Linked DNA regions of Schizosaccharomyces pombe. Each later gene encodes a partner of the first gene's protein in a complex. Each region holds a gene or a part of one and is shown in the gene's direction. Other genes may lie near its edges.

Region 1 (3,387 bases):
TCGCTTATCTTAGATACTTGTGAGGCACAGACTGTCAAAATTTGTTGAAAAGAAGCTGAAACAGTAATTTGCGCGTATGAAAACGTAAGTATTTATGTTTAACACCTAATATAATCGGCATCGTTGGAAATTCATCTTCGTAAAATTCGGTCAATTACCATCGAACTTCGACGTTGTCCTTTTGAAGCAACATTTAAAGGCCTATACCTCGCCAAACTCCTTTTTCATGTCATCTGTCAGTCTGCCATGAATTTCTCAAAAACATTACTAAAAAATTCAAAAGACGGGATTTCAAGTGTAATATTTTCACCCTCTGTCAAAAACGAACTAATTGCAGGGTGCTGGGATGGTAGCTTACTGCATTATCAAATCTCGGAAAATCCCGAACTTTTAGGGAAATACGATTTATCAAGTCCTATTCTTTCTTTAGAATATACAGATGAAAAAACTGCTTTAGTAGGAAATTTAGATGGGACAGTTACTACCCTCGATCTTAATACGCGAAACCATGAGTTTTTAGGAAACCACGGTAAGGGGGTATCGTGCATTTCTAAGTTGCGTTTGGAAAGTAAGATATATATTTTATTAGCCAGCTATTCTATTAACATTTTAGACTGTTTCATTAGTGGGTCTTGGGACAAATCATTTCGTGTTTGGGATGTTCGCGTAAAGCAACCTGTCGAGGGACAGGATATAGGAAAAAAAATTTTTGCAAGTAGCTCGAGAGATAATATATTGGTTCTAGGCTGTTCAGAAAGAGAAAATTTGGTGTACGATATTCGAAATTTAAAACTTCCATTTCAGCGACGTCCTTCTAGTTTTAAGTATATGACTCGAAGTGTTTGCTGTAACCAAAATTTTGAGGGATTCGTTTCTTCCAGCATTGAGGGAAGGACATCTGTTGAATATATTAACCCGTCTCAGGAAGCGCAAAGCAAAAATTTTACCTTTAAATGCCATCGGCAGATACAAAAGGACTACGATATTGTTTATCCAGTTAACGACCTAAAATTTCATCCGATTCATCAAACATTGGCAACTGCTGGGGGAGATGGCGTTGTTGCGTTTTGGGATATACAAGTCCGAAAACGATTAAGAGTGTTAAATCCTTCAAAGATCAATATATCATCTATTTCTTTTAATGTTGACGGAAGCATGCTTGCAATTGCCACTTGTGCTCAAGAAGAAGCCGCTGGTAATATCTATGTTCATGCTTTGGAATCCAACTTTGCAGCTCCAAAGTTAAAGTCATGAAATCGCTCATCAAAAAGCTTCATCCATGTAAAATCTTATGCAGATTCTTTTACTGCATACATATGAAATTTATATTATTTGAAGCACTCCTATTTAATGTTGTAAATGTTCAATATTTCCTCAGTGCTTCAAAGTGATAATTACGGTATTTATTATTTTTTATTCCACTATATATATTAAGTTAATAAGCAATTAATATAAACGCAAGACCATATTTATATAAAGAACGGGTTACGATTAAAAATACTTAATATAAAAACAATGTGACACTATTTGGTAGAAATTATCTAATTTACTTTGTTTCTCTTATTCACATTGTTTATAGTTATTAAAATAACTATAATTATACAGATCGCTAGCGCAGTTCGTAATTTATTTTGACTATTTCATCTACTGAGAATACACTCACAATTTGAACACAACAGAGAAGCCTTCTAAACCAGAAATAAAAAATATGAGGGCTTTGGGCCACCTGAAGCATAAAGCATTTCGTGATTTATTATGTAGGAGACTTTTTGCTGAACACGAAGTTGAACGTCAAAGCAATCTCTATATATATAGAAATCCTGAGCTACCTCTTCGGGTGCGTTTAGAAGCCAAAAAGCGGATTGAGGCTTTACCGACTAATGCACATCCTACAAAAATAAAAAATCGCTGTATTGAGACAGGTAGAGGCCGAGGTGTATTTCGTGCGTTTGGACTTGCAAGGGTACGATTATAATGTCATATAAATGCATTTTTGATGCTGACTATTTCAGTTTCCTTTTCGACTTAAAGCACTAGCTAATAAATTACCCGGAGTTCGGTAAGAATAAGCATTTTTACTTTTGTCACTAATCCATTCAGCAAGGCATCATGGTAATAATCGTTGTTTGTATTTCAATCCATGATAAGCGTTATTGAAATAAAAAGCTTTAATTATCTTCCGTGAATCCATCATGTTTATTATTAGCTAATATTTATTCGCCGTTTAAATGAAGTACAATTATTTGCATGATTACATTCCAAAACTGAATATTTACATTATCAATTGTTTATGATTGCCAATAGTTAGGTTCAGGTTCTGTGAGCGGCCTATCCATTATACTTTTAGTAGATATAGAACTGGTATTGTTGTTCTCTGTATCTTCATCAGGTGTACTATTTTTTTCGTTGTCTTCCTCTTGAGAAGTATCATCCGTTTCTTCATCTTCACTTTCACTGGTTGATGTTTCATATTCTCCTTCAGAACTTTCAGAAGTTTCACTAGCATAAAATTCTTCAAGCGTTTGCTGGCCAACAAATTTTGGACGGTTAATTGCGTTAGTATCTCCAAAATCACGTTTAAAGTTATCAGAAGATAATGCTTTCACACCCGGTGAATTGTTTGAATAAATATTTCCCGTATGAGGGTTTATTGGCAAAACATCCTTGATACCTTCTCGGACAGAATCAGGCGGTAAATCAGAGACATCAGCCCAGTTAGGGATTGGCTCATATCCCATCACGTCTTCATTCAAACATAAACTAGCGGTACCAATGCAGTAGTCCCGAGAAGCAATAATTTCTTTTTGACTATTCCCCTTGCTTTCCAATACGATGCGCCTAGTAAATTCAGAACTCGGTGTACTAGCTAGTTCTTTGTAAAACCTAGCTCTATCTCGTAAATCGTAACTCATGTCAAAGTGTATCAAAGATAAAACATAATTAAAAAGTAGTGACACGACATCATCTCTTGACTCTAAATCGTTTTGCTTCTCTTCAGAATGAGACAAAACATATAGTCTTACCGATAATTCGAGAATTTGATACTTCACTTCTAATGTCTCATCAGCAAAAGTTTTAACAGCAATGCGTAGCACATCAGGGACTAGTCGCGGTATGATTAGTATATGCTCCGAAATAAGCCATAGTGTAACGGATTTGGCCCGCGGTACTTCCAAAGTTTCATACGTTGCAGCTAAATACTGCAGATATATTTCTTTAGGATCATTATGAATGAGAAGCCGAAGTGAAGAGGCAGCTTCTGTCACGATAAGGCTATTATGTGATTTAAGTAACAGCAATAAAGTGTTAAGACAAGAGGGGGCCATAGAAATGTTAGCACTAGCAAAATCACCCAATGCCTTTACCGCCGTTGATGCAACAGAAGGA
Region 2 (3,276 bases), on another chromosome or scaffold:
GAAAGGGATTTTAAATTCCCTTAAACGTAAATGTTTTGTCCATGCAAAAAGTAGTGGAGATACACAATTTCGCATCTCTTAGCCTGGCAAGCAGACAAAAGTCGTCCCCAAAACGAGAGGCGTGGAAACGAAAAGACGCGTTATGAAGAAAAGAAACGATAATCAAATTAAAAGGATCACTATTAATGAGAGAAGGGGGTACTTGATAAAAAAAGAAAACGAGAACTCGATACGAGATGATGCATATACTTCCGTTCCCTTTCTATATGATGCGATAATTCAAACATTAAACTGTGCGAAAAGGCTCAATAATGCATCTAAACATTTCATCCAAGGTTTCCAAAAAACAGAAGGTGGTATAAATACAGCTAACTGAGCAAACCTTCCAACGTTGCGAAGTTGGGTTCTAAGCAAAACCTAAGATTGCTATTTCCTCATTAACAGGCAGCGTTAGTGAATTAACGGAAACCATCGCTATAGTTTATTTACGTTATTTTGTTATAATAGCTCGTTATTGTGTAAACATGGAAAGAACATTCATGAGTAAAAAAGAGGTCCCTTAATATAATTAAATGCAGAATATCCCTCTAAACTATTAAACTATCATTCATCGATCCTCTTAAGAATCGCTAATGAATAACGATCAATCGGCCATCATCATATATAGGAATGGCATTGAATGCAACCAGCATTTAGGCACGTTTGTTGACTCATTAGTATTTAATCAGCATTTACAATATCATCGAATACACTTTCGTCAAAGAACACAAGTGTAGTCTATTTACCTTACTTCTTCGTTATAAGCTACAGATTAACCTTACCTAGGTTATATAACACTCATCATCCAGAAGCGAATATCGTATTCTAGCATTGAGATTGCCAGCTAGCAGGTAAAATCAAATACGGAGTATAAATATGACTGCGTTATAAGTGAAGAAATGAAAATAACTGCTAAAAATGTATGAGCAGGCAAGAATTCAAGTAGTTGATGTCCATTCATAATAATACTGTACGATCAATGGCTTTAAATATTTGCAGCACTTCATTTTCACTTCAGAACATGCTAGGTGTAGCGGCATTTGCTGCGCTAATTTACTCAGTCAGTTTATGACAAAATCAAATTAGCAAATACGCATACAGCTTCACAAATACAGTACAGCCATTTAATTTGCTTTACGAAACATATAATTGATTTTGTCTAATTAATCTTAAAATTTTTTTGGAGTTTTTTGAACCATTGTTATTAATAATTCTAACGGCTGCCGGTAAATATTTAATGAAATCAGTGAAAATTAAAAGTATAAAAAAAAAAAAGTTTATTCCATAACAAAAAATTTTTAAGTATTAAAAAATTTTTAAGCAGTTTAACTTGCTTTCCTATGGCGTTAACGATTGATAAAAAAATATAAAAAAATAAAGGCAATAAACTCTATATACCTTTAGCAATTATAAAAAAAATATCTAAAAAATAATAGGGACTTTCAATCCATAAAATTAATTTAGATGAACAATCGCTTAGTTTAAATTCCGAATTTACAAACAAGCCATATCTTAGCAAAAAAAAGGCAATAGATGTGTTTAAATTTATAAATAACTATTTCATTAATAGTGTTCGTATCCTTGTGTGTTCTGAAATAAATATTCATAATATCTTACCATTAGGTTATACTCAGTAGCTACTAAGATGAGGCACACTAGTACCGTCAGCTAACACTAGCTTGGCCAGCCCAATTCCTCTTGGAAGCCATTTTCACCAAAAAAGTTGGTTTCTTGCGCTTATAATTCACTTTTTTAGCAGACTATCCATATAAGCGATTGTTTATTACCTCAAGTCATACTCTCCATTATTTATAGCGCCGTGGATGTGTTTTGCATAATTAACCCATCTCAATCATTATTCAATCCTTACTTCCATTTTCACGTTTCTATTACTGATTATTTTACTAATATACTATTTAATAACTTTTTCAGGAGGAAGATCCAATGCCGAAATTTAATGCAAATGGTTTGCTACGCAGCTTTGCAGCTGAAATGAAAAAGCCATGGACAGCAGAGTCTTTATGGTACGAAACGGTTGCTAAACATCCCCCAACCTTTCAATATGCTAGACGTATTGTACCATTGTACGATCCAAATAAGGTAAAATCCCGTGGTAAACGGTTACGAAAATCAATGTATCAGCCTCAGGAAATTCAATGGCCAGAAGATAAACTCCGTAAAAGGTTTTATCGAGATCATCCTTGGGAACTAGCAAGGCCTCAAATCATTGCAGAAAATGACGGTAATGATCAGCAATATTGTGATTGGAGTCACATGGATCAACCGCGCAAAGCATTATCTGGCGAGAGTGTAGTGCAAAGAACTTTATGGCTGATTGAAAACTCTAACATGCCTGTAGAAAATGCTTATGATCAAGCAAGAAAGGAATTTTATCACCTACGCGCTGAACAAGAAATTCAGCAACGCGTTGCCCATGATCAGGCTCAAGCATTGGGTGCTGTATTTACAAAATCTGATCTGGAGTTGGGCTATGAAATGGATCAAAATGCTTTAAATTCTTGGTTTGATAATGCTTCACAATACGCTGAGGCTAATCGTACAAAGTTCACAGACCCGAGTGTAGATATCTCTAAGACGACTCAGTAGTATTTAAATTCACAGCTGATATATCATATTGTCTCCTCAAAAATTGATTTTTGTTTTGTTTTTTTTTTTTTCAGAATTTTCTTAGTACTATCCCCTTTCAAAAATAAAACAGATATTTTTCATCTCTTTATGTCTTCAAATTAAAACAATCTATCAGAACACATTAAATTTCTACCATCTATTTGAATACATATATATATATTATAAATATTATTCAAAGCTATAGCAAGCTTTTCAGATGACACTGCCGTTTAGCCAGCTAGCGAACTTTCGCTCCAAACTTTTAAAAGTGCTTTAAAAAAAGTTCATCATTTATTGAGCAGCCAACATAGATAAGAAGATGATAGCGTCTATACCCATAACACTTTTTGTCAGGAAAGGAAAAATTTTTCTAATATTAAACGATTGCCAGTAATTGATTTTAGTCATGAATCACGAAATGCCACTTTTTTTCCCAAACAAAAAGTTAAGATACATATCAAAAAAACCAAACTCATGCCTCAACAGGATTGGTCACCATCTCACCTATGTAGACTCTAAAAATTACCATCATTTACCTTCCTTTCTTAGGTCGAGGTTTTATTTCGTCTTGCGGAACAGGGTGGAGCATGATTTTATTGGGCAATTGCG
Region 3 (3,698 bases), 2.3 Mb from region 1:
TTACGGTAGTATCAAGCTCTGGGAAGTATGTACTCTCAATTAATGGTTATATTACGATAGTTGAACTTAACTTCACTATTGTTGCTAGTTGCCAGCGCTCGCTATCTGTATTTAGAATTAGAAGGTGAATTGAATTGAGAAATATAATCAATATAACAAAATTACAAGTATACGTTTGGTTTTATTTCTTCAAAGTTATTTTGGTATGAAAAAGTGAGATGCTGACAGATTTCAAGTCAAGAACTCTATATTTTTTAAAACCACTTCAACGAATTTTAGGATCTTGAAAAGTACATCATTTTTACTAATTATAGGAGGGTATTTTCAAAGGATATATTGTATGTAGCATCTAAATAATTTTTATGAAGGTCTCAAAGGGTTGACAACGGTTGTTTTTGGAAATACATTACATTGACCATAAACTGAAACGATGTATTTTACAAAAGGCAATTCAATTTTACAAACTTTCAGCTAAATATAAATTATGCCAGGATTCTCGTTCATTTGACTAGAATGTGTGCTTGTGATATTTGTTCTCGCATTGGTAAGTGCCCCGAAACCTCTTTGTAAGTGGCACCGTACCACAAATTGCATACATACAATCTATTATATCAGATATACAGTTTTATCTTGGGTGGTAGATAATAGATATATAATTTCCAATTCATATTTATATTGTTTTACCGGTTGATTGAAATTTGCCAACCAATTTAATAAAAAGCGTTTGTCAAGATGCCAATAGATACACCGTTGATACCCCATAAACCTATTTCAAGATATCGCTCTGGTAGATTGGAAGGGCTGGAAAGTGAGTCTTCTTCTGAAAGTGATTATGAAGAAGTTTCCGATTCACATGATCAAGAAAACTCGATTTCTTCATCAAGACATGTTATTACTCCAGTATTCGAGAAAGAAGGAATATCTGAAACCAAAACGTCTTCTAATTTCCAAAACATTAACCCAGTCCAAACAATTGATAACTCTGCTTCAGAATATGAGACTGACGCATCATCGGCAGAAGGGGGATCTAACTCTGCAGCATCTAGTTCTGAAGAAGAAGACTCTTCTGATTCGGAATATGAGATGGAGCTGAGAAGGCGGACACTTCTTCTTCCGCCAAAATTTACTAGTAAAGTCATCAAAAATCGGGCAAAAGCCAATGAAGAAGATACTGAGGTGCTTAAAAAAGTGACTTCACAAAAAATATTAGAAGAGACTATAAAACGGGAATTACTATTGAAAGAAACTAAAAACAATAATGAATTATTAAATGATATCGATGATACCGATGGAATTGATCCGCAAAGTGAATATGAATTATGGAAATTAAGGCATTTGCTTAGGAAAAAGAGAGACAAGGAAAAGTCACTGGAATTAGAAAGGGAAAAGATGGCAATTGAAGAAAGAAGATTAATGAATTCTGAGGAACGCGAAGCCCAAGATTTGAAGGACGCTGAAGCAAGTCGGAGAGGAAAGAAAAAGTCATCTATGCAGTTCTTACAAAAGTACTATCATAAGGGTGCATTCTATCAAAACGAAGATATTGTGAGTAAAAGAGATTATTCAGAAGCCACAGAAGGGGAAGTTCTTAATAAAGATTTATTACCCAAACCTATGCAAATTAGGGGAGATCTTTTTGCGAAGGCAGGCCAAACACGCTGGACGCATTTGGCAAATGAAGATACTACAAAAGAAGGATCTGCTTGGTATGATCCTAAAAACCCAATCTTGCAAAAAAATTTGCATCGTCTCGGTGGACTTCATTCTGACAGCCCACTCTCGAAGCGAAAACGTACCTAACATCTGTATATACATAAGGACAATTTTGTATTTCATTTAGCATTAATTTTATTTAACATCACATATATATTTAAATACAACATTCTTCTGAATTAATATCAAATGTGCACCACCCTTCCTCTTTGTAAGTGTTTAGCATAAGCATACCAATTCTTACCTTCCCGCAGTGCAAAGAGTACAACACATTTTTCGCCTTGGTCACCCATGTTACGAAGAGGTGCGCTTTCCACAATATTAAAAGGTTTAAACGGCCTTTCACTGCGTAGTCCCATACCGATTTGGCATGTTTCAGCTTCTCCCGAAGTTGGGTCGAAATATAACCTACCAACGGTTCCTACAACTTCACACGTTTCATATCGTCGTAAGTAAATTAAATACTTCTATTTCTAACTTCATTGCGTAGAAATCGCAAAAGCAAATTTCTTTGCTGGATATCGACCTTTGTCAGCTAATCAAATATGTGTGCCTAAAGTTGAGTCCAAAACACAAGTTTCGCAATCGCAGGATGAGGAAGATCAACCCCAGGAATATGTGTTATCTTTAGAGGATGGCTATTTGTATGCTCAATCATTCTCTGCATCTGGATCCGTAACTCAAACTCAACCCGCTCGTATATCTACTCAAGTATGGGAACAAATATGTGATAAGCTGATTTCTATTACACCTTTAGATTTGACCAGTGTCAAACGAAAAAGAAAATTGAAAATGAATAAACATAAGTTCAAAAAGCGCTTACGCCGACAACGAGCACTTAGGAAACGTCTAGGAAAATGAGATTATTAGAACTTATTTTTACTCGGGTTATATTTTTAGGTTGGTTGGATTGAGAGTTTAAGCTGTAAACAAGCATTTTCAAAATGGCTGCAAGCATTTATGAGTCTCTATTTTTAACTTGGATATCAGTACCTCTCTTTTCTTAAGAAACGTTTAATCATTTAATGTTTACTTCAGGCTTTTTTAACAAGGAATACATTTTCTCTCATGTATATTCTATCCTTTAATGTTCCGGTATGAGACAATTAGGTCGGTGCTTTTTTCTTGCGATAAAATCATTAAACAATCCGCGTTTATTTAACTATTTTCAAAAAGCGGAGCACTTATTTGTTTATGCCGGCTATCTCCTTCATATCAATTAGCTTCCCATGTCTAGTACTATTACAATACCTCCATCTTTGGCCCTTCCTTTTTATATTTTTAAATATTTGTCGATGGCTAGAATTAATGACATGTACACTTCATGTGAATCATAAATATGTTGTTGTATATCAAGCAATTAATAAACGCTTATTACACTGTATCTGTTTACACATAGAATAAAAGAACACATTGGTATGAAAAATAACTTTAGTAGTCGAAATTATTTCCTTAAAACAATTTTGAAAAAAAAAAAAAAAATTTCTACATTTCTTTCTTTAAAAAATGTTCTCACTGATTATAGCTAATTACAATAATGAAATGTAACGTACTGACGACTGACATAACAAATAACAACATAAGGAATATTGAAGAGCGTCCAACTGTATAATTTTTAAGGCTTTTGTTAATCTTGTCTTAACCGATCAAGTTATGCCAACATGCTTTCTAGAGAAGAGCAAAACCGGTGTTTCGTTCCTGTCCGACGAATTTTAGACAATGAAGACTTAAAATTATTTAAAGAAGGAGATGCTTATAAGTTAATTGATTCGTTTATTTGTGATCTTGACGAAGCTGTGAAAGACAAGCCTATTTCAGCTTCAATTCCGCAAAGCTCATCAATAGAGCATGTATTAAATATACTAGATCGAGTTGGAGAAATTAAACAGGAAAATCCTGCAATTGATAATATGGGGTCGAGGTTTGGCAATCCTGCATTTCAATCATTTTACGATCAGGTATACATTGAAACACCAAAGTTGCAC
Region 4 (4,278 bases), on another chromosome or scaffold:
CTTTAACTCTAAAGGATTTAAGTCAATTTTTCGATAAATGTTTTCTGTTCTAGCTATCTTGGCAGCGTTTACAATATTTTCCATTAGCATAGCAACAGTCATCGGTCCGACGCCTCCAGGGACAGGAGTAATGCTGCTAGCAACTTTGGATGCAGATTCGAAATGCACATCGCCAACCAAAACGCGTTTTCCATTTCTTTGAACAGCGTTTATGCCAACATCTACCACAACAGATCCTGGTTTCAACCATTCACCACGAACAAATTCGGGTTTGCCTAATGCTGCTATAACCAAATCAGCATTAGAAATGTGCTGAATTAAATCTTTAGTTTTAGAATGACAGACAGTTACTGTAGCATTGTCCTTTCTCAACAAGTAGCTAATTGGATTTCCGACAATGTCACTTCTTCCCAGAACTACAGCGTTCAATCCAGCGACTGAAATCTTGTTATCTTTTAATAACTCCATAATACCTTTCGGGGTACAGGGATAATGAATGGGGGTAGCATCATTCTTTGCCAATAAACCAATGTTAAATGCACCAAATCCATCAACGTCTTTCGGCGGAGTGATAGATTCAGTAACTGTACGCTCATTGAGATGCTTGGGAAGAGGAAGTTGGACAAGGACACCGTGAACCGTATGATCGTCATTCAATTTTTTTAATTCATGAAGCAAGGCAGGCATTTGGATTGTTTCAGGAAACGGGCAGTATTTAAAATCAATACCAACTAATCGTGCCGCCTTTTCTTTCATTCGAACGTACACGTTAGAATCCTCACGTTTTCCAACCTGTACAATGGCAAGCGCCGGCTTAAAGTTTCGATCCTTAGCTTTCAAGGCCTGCACTTCTTCAGCAACAGAACGTTGTAATTTTCTAATTAGTCGCTACATTAGTAACCTCAAAGAGAAATAAAAATATAAAGTTTTAAGAGCAAAAAAATCTGATGAAACCTCAAACGTGCTGCAATGCCCAATACAATTTTTTAACTTCTAAGTATCGACAAAAAAATTGAAGAATATACGGAATTAAGCAATGTACGCAAATCAATTTTCAAACCACCAAAATTTTATCGTCAAAGACAAACACAGAAATGCACGCTCATCTGCATAGAGAAAATTTAGAATATAAACTTTATCTTACCTTGCCAATAATTTTCCATTTAGGATATTCGCAGAACTTGAAGTACCATACGACTGAAAAAGCCATTTCGATGGCCGTAAGCTGTTGCTTTCTAGAAAATAGTTTCGTAATTGATTAAACGAAACCATTACGTTCATAGAAAGACACCCAGAAGTGGTAGGGTAGTAAGGGAACCTGCCTGTCCTCTGGTGGTGTGTTAAAGCAAAATTTTTATTGGTAGTCAGGTAATCTATGTTGAATAATACGCTTACAGTAGAATATGAACCGAAACATTTTAATAGCGATTGTATTAAAGCAATGTATTCATTCTCGTATAATTTATTCTTCAAGCTCGAATAGTGACTGGAACAATTGCATTATTGCAAATCATAATGTATTGAACAAGTAATAATATACCTAAGCCTTTGAGATAGCTAATAAGCACACAAATAGTCAAAGAAAAAGTTTAAAAATCTGTTACATGATATACAGAATCTCAAGATCAAATATAATAGACAAATATAAACAACAAACGATCTGACAAGCAACTCATTAATTATCAGTAAATAAACTTAGACTAGAAAAATCATATAGTTTAGTTTAGTAGAGATAAACTCATTAATGAACAAGGAAGAACACACAAATTTACCGAAAGTTAACCTTTATAAGTTTCACTTTTCTTATGATAGCCATACCTTTAGTATTACTAATTTATAATTATAAAAAAAATTCCCGTTAAATTTAATAAGTACAAGCTAAAATCGTACTCAGTCATGGTTTACTCGAGTGTAAACAATTAAAGCACTCTGTTTCTCTATCCAACAGTGTGCGAGTCAAGTAACATTGCTACTTGAGGAGAGTGAACGTTTACTACACAACATGCCGACATGACCTCCTAACGAAAGCGATTCTATAACTTCAAACTAGCTATTGTAACATTGGCCATAATTTTGTATATTAATAGAGAGAATTTCATCTCGTATATACTTTTCATGAGTGTGCACACTTGATGTAAAACACTTCGCAAGCTGGATTGCACGACAAAAGTATATAAATAGCTGGCATCAAAAAATTACAGTCGTATTCGTGTGTTTTCTGAGTGATTGCTATTGATATTGACAATATTGACTCATTAGAAGTACCCACTTTCGTTCAGCAGTTACTTTTCGGTGGTGGTTTACATTGGGCAGAATTTGGATGTTTCTGACAAAGTATATCTTTAATCAAAATTATAATGAAGTTTCCTGATTTGTTGAGATGCTCCCGAGCAGTTAGTTTAGCAAGACCAGACTTGCCGAGGAACTCCCCTGATGTCTATGATACGAAGATTCCCATCCTACAAGCAATTACTGCGAAGAAATGCCAAAGATTTCGCGGCGATTGGGGAGCTAAGAGGAAGTTACCGATCCTAAAAAACCGTCATATTTCCATACAAAAGTTTGACACATTCGAGCATCAGTGTGCCTTCATCAGCAGTGACAGATTCGTACGCACCTTGAAACGAATTTACGACCTTAAGCTCCCTGTTCCGCTTAATGATTATGAACAAATTTCCCCTTACCTTTTACAGAAATACAACACTTTCTCAAGCTCAAATCCTAAATCCAGACCTACACTTCCACCAGGTATATTATACGCCAAATTGAAACTTTTAGATTCTTTTTCTGATTCTGAAAAGAAGCGCCTAAGTTTAGTATCCTTTATTCAAACTAAAAAAGTCCCGTTACCATTTACTTACGGAAAATTTGCACCCGACTCTAAAGAATGTTTATTTGGTGTCTCAGGAGTTATAGCTGCTACTTCTCTCAAAGGAATTACTTCAACAAAAAATCGATACGTAATTCGATCTCTTAATGTCGATGAAACCGGTAAAACCATTCCAAATATCACACGAGAAAATAGGAGTATTTAATACCATAATACAAGTTGACATTGACAATAAAAAACAGTAAAACGATTATTTCTCCCGTGAGTCACTTCGGTTTTCTTAAAACAATAGCTTTTCTTTCAAGGAATTGTTTCTTAATATTGTTTTCGTCTGTTGATAATCGTCTATTATGAAGATCCATCCATATTTAACATTTATTTCATCTGCTTACGATCCTGAGTTTTTGAGTTAGGGAAATTAATTGCACGGACTACTTTCTCCTTGAGCTATCATGATATGCCTTTAAGATCATTAAATATTTTTAACCGTTATTTTGCATTGTAGTGAACCGCTTTTTTCTCCCTCTTTTTGTTCATGGAGAGATTCTATACACCTATTACTTTTTCTAGGAAATAATATTGTCAACAAGCTTGTTTATTATTCCCACCATTCTTGTTTAAAAAAGATTGAATTTTTATTGTTTGTTTTTTGAGTGATTTTAACTTATTTTGGTTCTTGTAATTTTCGTTATGGCCGTATCGCATTACTGGAAACCTACGATGTTCCTAAGGGTGTCCGTTTATATTGAACTCTGTTTGGTTTATATTATGTACGCACGTGCTAAAAAATTTGCATAAATAAATTAATAAGCTTATATCAATCAACGCTTCCCGACAGTGTATTAAATTGTAAATCCGATAAACTTTGTAAACGTCTTTTGAATTTGCTTCTTAATTACCCAGTTACTCTAGTACCTACTAAGAGATAAAATCGTGTTTTATTAGCAATCATTATTTTTCTTTTCTTCGTACAATCTTTTATTCAAGCATTTTACTGTAACTCGTTATTTTGCTTTGTACAATAACACTCAGTATTATACCACAATACATTTTGAATGTTAACACGTACATAGCATGTTGTTATAATGTCGAGTAGTTCAAGTCATTTTTCGGTAATTTAACTTTCATAAAATTCGGAATTACTAACTTAAACAAAAGTCTACCGCTGCTGATTTGCTAGCAGTCTTCAGCTCAGATAATAAGGACAAATCTGCAAACAAACGAATTTCTGCTTTAAAGAAAGCAATTGCAGGCATATCTTATGGATATGATATGAGTTCACTGTTTCCATCGGTGATATCTTCTATGGAATCTAATAATCTAGAATTAAAAAAACTATGCTATTTGTACTTGAAAATTTACGCGAGGTTTGTAAAAGTTTCTTTATTTTTTACTAATTGACAGCGTGAAACCCACAGAGGCGAAGAGAGCTGTTAAACTTATTTTGA

What was found.
Region 2: mrp2 (region 1) and rsm25 share a complex: the UniProt entries of both Schizosaccharomyces pombe proteins name them as parts of the mitochondrial small ribosomal subunit.
Region 3: mrp2 (region 1) and cox24 share a complex: the UniProt entries of both Schizosaccharomyces pombe proteins name them as parts of the mitochondrial small ribosomal subunit.
Region 4: mrp2 (region 1) and mug178 share a complex: the UniProt entries of both Schizosaccharomyces pombe proteins name them as parts of the mitochondrial small ribosomal subunit.

What each region holds. Positions count from the first base shown.
Region 1 is NC_003424.3:2,504,166-2,507,552, reverse strand, and holds mrp2 (mitochondrial 37S ribosomal protein uS14m), read left to right. Parts: upstream 1-1,668; 5' UTR 1,669-1,708; coding exon 1,709-1,963; exon of another isoform or gene 1,964-2,012; coding exon 2,013-2,059; exon of another isoform or gene 2,060-2,100; coding exon 2,101-2,116; 3' UTR 2,117-2,288; downstream 2,289-3,387. Other genes in the region: mitotic spindle checkpoint WD repeat protein Bub3, read left to right, coding at 247-568, 614-1,254; AP-3 adaptor complex subunit Apl6, read right to left, coding at 2,289-3,387. UniProt on the Schizosaccharomyces pombe protein: Component of the mitochondrial ribosome (mitoribosome), a dedicated translation machinery responsible for the synthesis of mitochondrial genome-encoded proteins, including at least some of the essential transmembrane subunits of the mitochondrial respiratory chain.
Region 2 is NC_003423.3:4,290,396-4,293,671, reverse strand, and holds rsm25 (mitochondrial 37S ribosomal protein mS23), read left to right. Parts: upstream 1-1,709; 5' UTR 1,710-1,983; coding exon 1,984-2,646; 3' UTR 2,647-2,776; downstream 2,777-3,276. Other genes in the region: PPR repeat-containing protein Ppr7, read right to left, coding at 1-75; nucleoporin Rae1, read right to left, coding at 3,200-3,276. UniProt on the Schizosaccharomyces pombe protein: Component of the mitochondrial ribosome (mitoribosome), a dedicated translation machinery responsible for the synthesis of mitochondrial genome-encoded proteins, including at least some of the essential transmembrane subunits of the mitochondrial respiratory chain.
Region 3 is NC_003424.3:4,761,075-4,764,772, forward strand, and holds cox24 (mitochondrial 37S ribosomal protein mS38 ), read left to right. Parts: upstream 1-1,968; 5' UTR 1,969-2,004; coding exon 2,005-2,161; exon of another isoform or gene 2,162-2,203; coding exon 2,204-2,574; 3' UTR 2,575-3,148; downstream 3,149-3,698. Other genes in the region: splicing-associated factor Saf3, read left to right, coding at 733-1,800; ypa2 (serine/threonine-protein phosphatase 2A activator 2), read left to right, coding at 3,375-3,698. UniProt on the Schizosaccharomyces pombe protein: Component of the mitochondrial ribosome (mitoribosome), a dedicated translation machinery responsible for the synthesis of mitochondrial genome-encoded proteins, including at least some of the essential transmembrane subunits of the mitochondrial respiratory chain.
Region 4 is NC_003423.3:3,445,970-3,450,247, reverse strand, and holds mug178 (mitochondrial 37S ribosomal protein bS1m), read left to right. Parts: upstream 1-2,023; 5' UTR 2,024-2,357; coding exon 2,358-3,035; 3' UTR 3,036-3,732; downstream 3,733-4,278. Other genes in the region: ade9 (trifunctional formate-tetrahydrofolate ligase/methenyltetrahydrofolate cyclohydrolase/methylenetetrahydrofolate dehydrogenase), read right to left, coding at 1-877, 1,145-1,281; AP-2 adaptor complex subunit Apl1, read left to right, coding at 3,916-3,942, 3,989-4,197, 4,235-4,278. UniProt on the Schizosaccharomyces pombe protein: Component of the mitochondrial ribosome (mitoribosome), a dedicated translation machinery responsible for the synthesis of mitochondrial genome-encoded proteins, including at least some of the essential transmembrane subunits of the mitochondrial respiratory chain.